3 linked regions of the Callithrix jacchus genome follow. The protein of the gene in region 1 purifies or fractionates together with the protein of each later gene. This does not show direct contact. Links are inferred from orthologs where the notes say so. Each region holds a gene or a part of one and is shown in the gene's direction. Other genes may lie near its edges. The genes, in order: ERBB4, WWOX and STAT5A.

Evidence for each region.
Region 2: the proteins of ERBB4 (region 1) and WWOX purify together in Homo sapiens (affinity purification with western blotting; 4 studies listed by BioGRID). This does not show direct contact. The link is inferred for Callithrix jacchus from reciprocal best matches to the Homo sapiens genes ERBB4 and WWOX.
Region 3: the proteins of ERBB4 (region 1) and STAT5A purify together in Homo sapiens (affinity purification with western blotting; 3 studies listed by BioGRID, with this or other methods). This does not show direct contact. The link is inferred for Callithrix jacchus from reciprocal best matches to the Homo sapiens genes ERBB4 and STAT5A.

What each region holds. Positions count from the first base shown.
Region 1 is NC_133507.1:133,033,657-133,037,306, reverse strand, and holds part of ERBB4 (receptor tyrosine-protein kinase erbB-4), read left to right. Parts: intron 1-1,948; coding exon 1,949-2,394; 3' UTR 2,395-3,650. UniProt on the Homo sapiens protein: Tyrosine-protein kinase that plays an essential role as cell surface receptor for neuregulins and EGF family members and regulates development of the heart, the central nervous system and the mammary gland, gene transcription, cell proliferation, differentiation, migration and apoptosis.
Region 2 is NC_133521.1:36,741,413-36,745,062, forward strand, and holds the end of WWOX (WW domain-containing oxidoreductase), read left to right. Parts: exon of another isoform or gene 1-2,167; coding exon 2,168-2,356; 3' UTR 2,357-3,313; downstream 3,314-3,650. UniProt on the Homo sapiens protein: Putative oxidoreductase. Acts as a tumor suppressor and plays a role in apoptosis. Required for normal bone development. May function synergistically with p53/TP53 to control genotoxic stress-induced cell death.
Region 3 is NC_133506.1:121,727,396-121,731,045, forward strand, and holds part of STAT5A (signal transducer and activator of transcription 5A), read left to right. Parts: intron 1-381; coding exon 382-512; intron 513-758; coding exon 759-910; intron 911-1,366; coding exon 1,367-1,522; intron 1,523-1,951; coding exon 1,952-2,131; intron 2,132-3,650. UniProt on the Homo sapiens protein: Carries out a dual function: signal transduction and activation of transcription. Mediates cellular responses to the cytokine KITLG/SCF and other growth factors. Mediates cellular responses to ERBB4.

The sequences.
Region 1 (3,650 bases):
AGAACCCTAATTGTAAGTAACCTATTAAAATACATCTGTCTAGATAAAACTTTTACATATATAAAACTTTTATATATATATAAAAATGTGATGAAAAGTTTGGATGTTCATTGCAGCCCAGTAATGACACAAATGTAGGTTTTGTGAAGATTTGGCAGATTCCCCCCAAAGAAGAATCTTTTCGGGAAGATTTGCACCTCAACTGCAAAGTTATTGGACAGTTATATAAGTTTGCATCAGGACAATATATAAGTAGATTGCACTGTGTAAAGGTAATATAAGGCTAAGAGAAAAGCAAGTCAGTCTGTCTAGTCACACTGTATTCCCAGACAGAGTATTCCCAGATTTTATCTCTGAACACTAAGCTCCATTTATATAAAACGTTGCTATAGTCTAACCTAGTGCTCAGAGAGTACAGAATTTTAGTATAGACATTTCCATACTTTCAATTAAGATGTTTTAGGAATCTGGTAAGAAAGATCAAATTCTGCATTCCTTACAAGTGTTTTCATACATTTGTCAAATTAAAACTTGTTACGAAGCATTAAGTTCACCCAACGCCTGCAAGGGCAATAATAAAAAACAGTGTGGTAGAATAAGAAGATTATGCAAGAGGAGTAACAAGACCTGAATTCTATCCCAACACTAATTGTATCCTGCATACATCATTTAATCTCATTTTTCTGTCTACAAAGCTGGAAAAATAAGTCTTGTACTTTCTTTTTCACAGAATTGCTAAGATGAAATGATAGTATATTTTAAAGGCCTATGTATGATAGTGGGATATTCATTATTGCCCTTTAAATTTAATAAGTGATGCTAAATGCTTACCTATTCAGCATACATATATTTGGAGAAAAATAACCCTGGCCTAATAGGATTTTTCTCTCTGCTTGTTGGGATAAGACTAAGAGATAAAGTTTGTTTCAGAATGGCCTCTCAACAAACAATTGTCCCCTCTTGATGCCTCAAATCCAAAATAGAAATAGCTCAGTGTTTTGTATATATAGTAAGAGAGGACTAATAGAGGACCTACAATATATGTGTGTGTATGTCTACCTGCAGTCTATATTAGAGACACAAAGGTAAAATTAAACTTCAGGAGAATGGCAATAATTATTTGCACCTTTTAGACCAATACCTGTACTAGATGGATTTATAGATTGATCCATATAAAATAGGTGCTAATGGCTGGTTTCAGTGTACAAAATCGCTGTTTTATATGATTCAAGCTAATAGTATGCTATTTTATGATTATGATTGTTCAGTGGAAATATAATTATACTTTATTATTAAGTAGAAGTACATGTAATGTCAAGCAAGTCAACTAGAGGCATTTTAGATACCTGTTAGGTTTGCTTCTTTTTTTTTTTTTCCTTTGATGCTTTCTTTCCCATGTGTGAAAAGTTTTTCAGGATCATCTCCAATCAAATCCTTGTTACCAGTATAGACAATCATAGCAAAACTAGATACTAAAAAACATGATTTCTTCACTCCATCTATTCATCTTGGCATGGAAAAAAGCTATAGACTCTTTAGTTTTTCAATATCCTTTATAGAAATAAGTTGTCTGTATATTTAAAGGTTATTTAATTTGAAGAAGTAGTCTTATTCCTAATATAAATACATTTTAGAAAACAAAAACATTTAAACAACTGGCCCCATATGCAAAAGAAACAGATGCAATTAGAAGGAAAGAAAAATTTTGGAGATAGAAATTCTGATTCTGGTCTCATTGGCTTCTTGTTTTGTTATAAACATTTTTGGTCCACTTTTTTCATATGGCAATAGTAATCCACAAATAATTGTTTTGAGAAATCCTGAAAACAAGTCTGTATTTTTTTGTTGTTGTTGTTCTAGACAAAGAAGCTAATCATTATGTATAACTTTGGTCTGATTAGTATTTTCCAGAAAGTTGAGGTTAGCGGATTTTTTTTTATTCCTTTAGAATACCTGAATCCAGTGGAGGAGAACCCTTTTGTTTCTCGAAGAAAAAATGGAGACCTTCAAGCATTGGATAATCCCGAATATCACAACGCATCCAATGGTCCATCCAAGGCCGAGGATGAGTATGTGAATGAGCCGCTGTACCTCAACACCTTTGCCAATGCCTTGGGAAAAGCTGAGTACCTAAAGAACAATGTACTGTCAGTGCCAGAGAAGGCCAAGAAAGCGTTTGACAACCCTGACTACTGGAACCACAGCTTGCCACCTCGGAGCACCCTCCAGCACCCAGACTACCTGCAGGAGTACAGCACAAAATATTTTTATAAACAGAATGGGCGGATCCGGCCTATTGTGGCAGAGAATCCTGAATACCTCTCTGAGTTCTCCCTGAAGCCAGGCACTGTGCTGCCACCTCCACCTTACAGACACCGGAATACTGTGGTGTAAGCTCAGTTGTTATTTTTAGGAGGAGACACACACACAGCTCCAGTTTCCCCACCCCCCTCTCTTTCTCTGGTGGTCTTCCTTCTACTCCAAGGCCAGTAGTTTTGACACTTCCCAGTGGAAGATATAGAGATGCAATGATAGTTATGTGCTTATCTATCTTGAACATTAGAGGGAAAGACTGAAAGAGAAAGATAGGAGGAACCACAGTGTTTCTTCATTTCTCTGCATGGGTTGGTCAGAATGAAACAGCTAGAGAAGGACCAGAAAATATAAGGCAATACCGCCTACTATCAAACTAGCTGTCACTTCTTTTTTCTTGTTTCTTTTTTTTTTTTTTTAAGCAGATGGTTGAAACACCTATGTTATCTGTTCCTATCTGCAGGAACTGATGTGTACATACTGAGCATCCCTGGAAATTATAATAAAGTTTTCATTAGAACAAAAAAATAACATTTTCTATAACATATGATAATATCGGAGATTGAGAAACCAATTTTTTTCTCCAACAGTTTCTGTCCTAGCAAGTAAGAATGGCCAACCCAGCTTATAATTTAAAAATAGTCATAAAAAATATAACTATTAATTATGTTTTGAAGGCTTTTTTTTTCCACTTTGTTTTGCTCTGACCAATTCCTTTATATAGTTGCTCCCCAATTTTTGGCTTTAATTTCTAATTGCAAAGATGTTTATGTCAAAGCTTCTTCACAGAATTTAAGCAAGAAATATTTTAATATGGTAAAATGGCCACTATTTTAAGTACACAATTTTTAAAATAAGAAAGGGAGGCTAATATTTTTTTATTTTAGCTTTCATTTTTCATGCTATCAAATTATCTTCACCTTCATCCTTTACATTTTTCAACATTTTTTTTCTCCATAAATGACAGTATTTGATAAGCAGTTGGTTGTCTGAAGTATAAAAGGGAAACTAAGAGACAGTTCTCTTAGTTTCTGTAGTTCAAGAAAACTACTGATATTTTCAGGGGTGGTCCAATGAGGGAATCTATTGAACTGGAAGAAACACACTGGACTGGGTATGTCTACCTGGCAAATACTCAGAAACGTAGTTTGCACTTAAGCTGTAATTTTATTTGTTCTTTTTCTGAACTCCGTTTTGGATTTTGAATCAAGCAATATGGAAGCAACCAGCAAATTAACTAATTTAAGTACGTTTTTTTAAAAAAAGAGCTAAGATAAAGACTGTGGAAATGCCAAACCAAGCAAATTAGGAACCTTGCAACGGTATCCAGGGACTAT
Region 2 (3,650 bases), on another chromosome or scaffold:
CACTGCATCATTTCGGAAGGTTATAATGGCAAAATACTCTTTCAGTTTAGGAAGAATTCTGCTTTGTGCTTTCCCTAGTGGACTCCTTTGGTGTTAGGATTACCAGAACACTGAAAGGCCACTGTGTCATGACGTTTCAATACTGAATAGTATAGTCATTGCGGCGTGGGCGTGGGGGGTTGCTGGACTGAAATTAGTGGGCTGGATTCTCTCACCACGCGGGCACTGGGCCACTCTGGTGGTTTTGGCAGCATAAAATGGAAATCTGTGACAGAGAGCTGGATGTTCATGCAAAGCACTATCTCGGTCTGAATTCTTAGCTCAGTTCAGGTGATATTTGGCTTGAATTAGCTGGATGAGCATCTCCATTCTCCAGTTTGTCTTTAGAGGCACGCCTGCTTCCCTTTTCCCCACATGGGATGCAGAAGAGTCAGATGGGCCTCTTGAAGTTGTTTAGATACATGTGCCAGCTGCTAAGCCGAGGGTTATGAGGAATCATAATTCAGTGAAAGGAAAGTTGGATGACACGAACTCTGTTCCATTAGACTTGACCCACAGAAATCAATGGAAAAGAACTAGCTGAATCTAGGATAATATCTGGCTATTTGGAGTGGGCGTGGTTACGGTAGGAGACTGGGGCGGTAACCAGTTACTGTTTAAGTCAGTTCAAGACATATCAGTTAGTTACTGGGACTTCCCTGATATCACCAAGCAGCCACTTATTTTCGAAATCCAAGTGCTCGTCTCATGCACTGTCCACACCCCTGCCAGAGTCATGTCACTTGACTGCATTTGACCATTCCATTTTCAGACCAACATAGATTAACTACAGACCCTGACACTGAAGAAACCAAAAGCAAGCAACAGCAAACCCACGTCTGCCTTATCCACCTTCTTCAGGTCGTTAACACCTTCCACGGGCCCCTGGTTCTCAGAATGGCCCTGGCTCCCTAGAATACAAGCATAGTGATGGCAAACCAAACCATGTGAGGGAAAGTCCTCCCCTAAGCACCCTGCATGCTCAGAGTTAAAACCCTGCAGAGGTTAAAAAAAAAAAAAGTGATAAACTTCGGGTGAGGTCGGAAAGCCGTTTCCCCCGCAATCAAAGTTCCTTACCGTCTTCCTGGTGGGGGCTGCCTTACCTTCCGTTATCATCTTGTCTGGTCCTCTTTTGCAACCCTGCTCCCTATGAGCTGAAAATTAGTGGATGCAGCTAGGGCTGTGAAACACATAAATAATCATAAGATGCCAGATAAACTGTATTGGTTTTAAATTAGAGACGTGCCGACCATGTCTCCCTCTGAACAGCAGCCTATTATTTTTAATTATGGCTTGCAAAGCAAAGTGATTTCTTGCCCTCTTTACAGCATCCCTGACTGTATTTTGTCAGTACAGATGATATGATGCACCATCAGTGCACACATCCCTAGCCCTAGCCCCAACTGTTACTCAAAAGGTGAATCAAAAGTGATCAACTGTACTCTTTGCAACTTACATCTTGAAGTGGGCGGGGAGGAAATGGACCGCTTAGCCATGGTCCCGTTGGAGATCCGGGACAAATACAACATTTAGGAAAAAGTAGTTTTCATAGGTTCTGGATGAATTAAGAGATGTGCTAGATAGTCATGTATGCTGGGGAGTATGTGGGTGTGTGCATTAAATGTTTTAACACAGCCTTGCCCACCGTTCCCCTAGCAGCACTGTGGGCAGAGCATAAAGGGAGGATCTGGCACCAGCTCCACTTGGGTTTTCTACCTGATGGGCCATAATTAAGAGTGGTTGGTTTGTCAGACAGAAGGTTCTACAAACAAGTTGGTATCAAGTGACATTCTACATTGAGACGTCGAGGGGTTGGATGAATGTGCTCTTGCACTATCAGAAGGATATCGTTTTCCTTCCTGTGTAGACGAGGCGCCTGCCACGACATGTATTTATTTTCCAAGCCTGTTCTATACGAGGTGTCAAAAGTCACACCAGCTTTACAAGCGGAGTTTATGAACTCGTTTTTCCAGGATAGTCACAGTATACTTTTCAGTCATGTGCTTTCAGCCCAGTAGCCTTTGCTATGCCAAGATCCAGCTGAAACCACCAAGTGGGGGAGATTTGCTGATGCCATCCCATGACTCCTCTTCTTAAAACATGTTTGTCTTTCTTCTTTGATTCCCAGCAACAGGGAGCTGCCACGACCGTCTATTGTGCTGCCGCCCCAGAACTGGAGGGTCTGGGAGGCATGTATTTCAACAACTGCTGCCGCTGCATGCCCTCGCCAGAAGCGCAGAGCGAAGAGACGGCCCGGGCCCTGTGGGCGCTCAGCGAGAGGCTGATCCAAGAACGGCTTGGCAGCCAGTCCGGCTAAGCGGAGCTCCGAGACCATGGGCGCACAGACCCGCTCTGCGTGTGCGCCCACGGAACTGCCGAGGCTGGACCCCTTCCAACCTTAGGGGGTTTCCGTGTCCCTCTAACAGAGATCCGCAAGAGGAAAGGAAATCAGAGCAGTCCCAACCGCATGAAGAATGTTAAGTACGAATGGGAAGCAGGGAATTTTAGGGGTAAAGGTGCTTTTCTGGGGCTCAGCATAGGTTTCTTTGCGTTCTGGTGGTGGCCTGCTTGTTTGAAAGTAACCTGGGTGGGTTCTGGTTCTTTATCTCCCTGGAGAAGCACAAGCAATTTTCTCTTTCTTACTATTAGACAGTATCCTGGGGTCCCCTTGACTCACCCAGCTTCCAGCATGGTCACCACTGCAGCCAGGGGCGTGCTGTCTCCTACTTAGGGAAGAAAAAGCAAGTGTTTACTGCTCCTTGCTGCATCGATCCAGCAGATAATTGTTTCTTGCATCCTGGCCATACTGAGCCAGCTTGGCAATTGCTGGGGAGACAACTCTCAGAAACTTGCCCCAGCTGGGCAGGATGGCCGTGACACCAAGATGGAGTGGCAGAGCTCCTGGGGGGCAAAGTACGTGTCATAGACTCCTTTGCCAGTGCTACACAAAAAAATTCTTTAAAGTCTATAGAAAATAAATTTTTCAAAGCATTCCTTAGATACCTTGACAGGCAGGGAGGTGTGTGTCCTCAAGAACACACAGGATATTCTGGAGAGCAAGGAATATTGATTCCTTCCATCAGTCAGTCTGTTGTCTTGCCTTGGCTTTCTGCTTAAACGTCCGCCTGTGCCTCCCAACCTATGCTTAATAAAAGAACAGGCTTGAAGATGATCACCTGCAGTTTGTACTGTGTTTTTAAATGTTTCCGTTTTTGTTAAAAAAGAAATCTAGAGGAAAAATAAAGCGCTTCTCGTAGACGCCAGGAAAACACGATCCTTGTCTCTTCTGAGTTTGTGTTTTGTTTTTGTGCTTTGTGGCTGTCCGTGGGCCAAGCCGTCTCACGCGATTAGCATGCCAGCATCATATTTTCTGTGAAAGAAAGAAACCAGAAAATTGGCTATTGTTTAATTTCACCTTAAGATGTTTTGTCATTACTTACAGTGAGTTACGTTAGTCCTCAGTGCTTAGCTCCCCTGTAGTTACCAACTACTTAGTGGGCAGAGAGTATCTCTGTGTTTGAGAATGGAAGATGATATACAGAGGTTCTTCTCTGCATATCCGTTCTCATGAACACCATGGTTTCCAGCCCATTCCAGCAAGCACATGAGAA
Region 3 (3,650 bases), on another chromosome or scaffold:
ATCCCATGGGGCAGGGCTGGAGTCAGGGTGACATGGACCCTCGGGGCCAGCCAGGAACTGGTGCCAGGCCATGAGAAGAGGGCTGGCAACCCTGTGGGATGGGTGAGCAGGTGACAGGCAGGACTCCTCTCCAGCTGCCCCAGCACCCCATGTGCCCCCAGAAGGGACACTCAGAGTCAGGAGGCTGTCAAGTAGGGCCCAGAGGTGCCTCCTGAGGCATACATTCATCTTGGCGCCCCTGGCTGTTAGGAACCCTGACTTGCCCTTGATGCAGCGTCTGAGCCCAGGAGGGTCTCGCTCCAGAACAAGCGTGTGGGCTCCTCTGGGCCTCCTGTTGGATGCTGGGAGGTGACGGTCATGGTGCCCTGTCCCCTCCTCTAGCTCAGTTTGCCACGCTGGGCCAGCTGAGCCCCCAGGAGCGTCTGAGCCGGGAGACAGCGCTCCAGCAGAAGCAGGTGTCCCTGGAGGCCTGGCTGCAGCGCGAGGCACAGACGCTACAGCAGTACCGCCTGGTGAGTGGGGTCCTGGGCCTCTCCTGGGCATGGGTGCCACAAAGCCAGTCTCTGGGGACCCGAGGGAGGGCTGGGACCGGGATGAGAGCAGAACCTGGGAGGGCAGGAGGCCTTTTTACCTGGGGCCATGTGAGGCAAAGCAGCTTGGGGAGAGAGAAGGGGCTGGGCCCTGCCCTGCCATTTCCCAGCAAGGCCCCGTGGGGTTCTCTGGGAGCCCAGAAGGGGCTGTTCTCCTCCCTCCCTCAGGAGCTGGCCGAGAAGCACCAGAAGACCCTGCAGCTGCTGCGGAAGCAACAGACCATCATCCTGGATGACGAGCTGATCCAGTGGAAGCGGCGGCAGCAGCTGGCCGGGAACGGCGGGCCCCCCGAGGGCAGCCTGGACATGCTACAGTCCTGGTAACAGTGTGGGGTGGCCAGCGGGCAGGGCAGGAGGGGCTGCAGGGACCCCGACTGCTTCTGCCTCCTGCGCTGGCTCCTGCAGCAGGCCCCCTCCGTCCTGGGACAGCTCTTGTTTCTGTAGGGGCCTGGGTCCTGATTCAGACTTTGGTCCGCCATCCTGTGCCACCTTCCCCAGGAAGGGGACTGCTGTCCTGGGGGTAGGACAGGGCTCGGGTGTGCAGAGTGGCGTTCAGGCTGGTTGGGCCTAGTCAGGGTCCCCTCCTGTGAAAGTCTCTAATTCTTTGAGGCAGGGAGCTCTGCTCTTGCTGTGGGTGGGAAGTGTGGGGAAAGCACAGAGCCTTCCTGGGGGAGACGTTCCTGTGGGAGGAGGAGCCGTGTCTTGGGGCTGGGCTGTGGCCTGGACTCTGTGCAGAGAAGCCACTGTCCTCCTATTGGCCCTGGGGCTCCGTGCAGGTGTGAGAAGTTGGCCGAGATCATCTGGCAGAACCGGCAGCAGATCCGCAGGGCTGAGCACCTCTGCCAGCAGCTGCCCATCCCCGGCCCAGTGGAGGAGATGCTGGCCGAGGTCAACGCCACCATCACGGACATCATCTCAGCCCTGGTGACCAGGTGACGGCTGCCTGTTGGCCATGCCCAGGGGCTTGGGGCAGCTCCCATGGGGTGGGCGTGTGGGGGGCCGCAGGTGCTTTCCAGACCAGCAGCTTCACCTTCATCCTTGTCTCTCTTTGCCTCTCATCCCTCCCCACTCCGTCTCCAGTTACTGTGGCTGCTGGGCACCGCCCTTGCCCAGTTTCTCTTGTAGACACTGCAAGGGATGCCCTTGGGTGGCATCCCATGCCGGCTGCTGTGTTCATCTCACTCCCCCTCTCCGGCCTCTTCCTGGACTCTCATGGCTTCCTTGGGAACAGACCCTGTGCTGTGCTCTTCCTCACCTGCTGAGCCCCTCAGGAGGCAGCCCCACTCCCACCACAGAGGGACCGAGACCCCTTTCCCCTGAGCCAGCCCCTCATCGTGCATCCGTCCCTGTGTCCCCTGCAGCACATTCATCATTGAGAAGCAGCCCCCTCAGGTCCTGAAGACCCAGACCAAGTTTGCAGCCACCGTGCGCCTGCTGGTGGGCGGGAAGCTGAACGTGCACATGAACCCCCCGCAGGTGAAGGCGACCATCATCAGTGAGCAGCAGGCCAAGTCTCTGCTCAAGAACGAGAACACCCGCAAGTAATTGTGCCTCTCCCCGCCCCTGCCCAGGCTCATGTGTAGGGAACGCGCACCTCCTCTCTCTGTCCTCGCATCCAGACATGTCTTGTTTCCTAGTTCACCATGTCACCCAGGCTGGTCTTGAACTCCTGGACTCATGGAGTCTGCCCACCTTAGCCTCCCAAAGTACTGAGATGACAGGCGTGATTCACCACGCCTAGCTCTTTACCCTGGGGATGGTGTGGCTGCCGGAGAGGTGAGGCTCATTGCCCAGCATTGTGAAGGACTATCACACCACCTTCTCCTGAAAGTGTATCGCTTTGCACCATTGTAAATTCAAACGATCATGTCAAACCATCATTAAGCCTAGGATAGATGGACACTGCCCTTCCTGCCTGTGTCTGGCACATAGTAGGTCAACAAGTATGGTGCTAGGCTAGATGTGGTAGCTCAGGCCTGTAATCCTAGCACATTGGGTGGCCAAGGCGGGAAGATCACTTCAGCCCAGAAGTTTGAGTTGGACAACATAGGGAGACGCTCATCTCTACAAAAACATTTAAAATTAATTGGATGTGGTGGTGCAAGTCTCTGCAGTACCAGCTACTCAGGAGGCAGAGGTGGTAGGATGGCTTAAGCCTAGGAGTTTGAGATGACAGTGAGGTATGATTCCACCATGGCACTCTAGCCTGGGCAACAGAATGAGAACCTGTCTCCAAGAAGATCACACAAAATACGGCATTACTGCCGTGTTTAGAACCTGTGCTATGCACTGAGGATGCAACTGTGACCCCAACAGAACTGGGCTGTCTCCTTGCCCAGCCCCTAGACCAGCAGAGCAGGCAGAGACTGTAGCCATGCAACAGGGAACAGAGGCTGTGTTCCGAGGATCGTGGTGAAGGGCTAATGAAATGACAGTATTAGGCCCCCAGTGGAATTGGAGGTAGGGAGGGAAGTCAGAGAGAGGGAGGACTTTCAGGCAGAGCCCATGTGCCTTGTCCTGAGGAAAGAGGGCAGAGAAGTCGTGTGTGCAGAGAATGGGGAGGCAGTGTCCAGTGTCAGGACAGGCCACCCACAATGTATGCAGTGGGTGAGTGAATGAGTGAGTGAGTGATGTGGAAGACATGGCCCCATCCCTTGTCATCCAATTAAAAATGTTTACTGAGGCCGGGTGCAGTGGCTCACACCTATAATTCTAGCACTTTGGGAGGTGGAGGCGGGCGGATCACTTGAGGCCAGGAGTTCGAGACCAGCCTGGCCAACATGGCAAAACCCGTCTCTACTAAAAATACAAAACTTAGCAGGGCATGGTGACACACACCTATAGCTCTAGCTACTTGAATCTGTAGTTCCAACTACTCTGAGGCAAGAAAATCACTTGAACCCAGAAGACAGAGGTGGCAGTGAGCCGAGATTGTGCCTCTGCACTCCAGCCTGAGCAACAGAGCAAGACTCTGTTTAAAAAAAAAAAAAAAATGTTTACTGAGTGCCTACCATGTGATTGGGGTGAAGATGAAGAAGAATGAACTTCTCACTGCCTTTG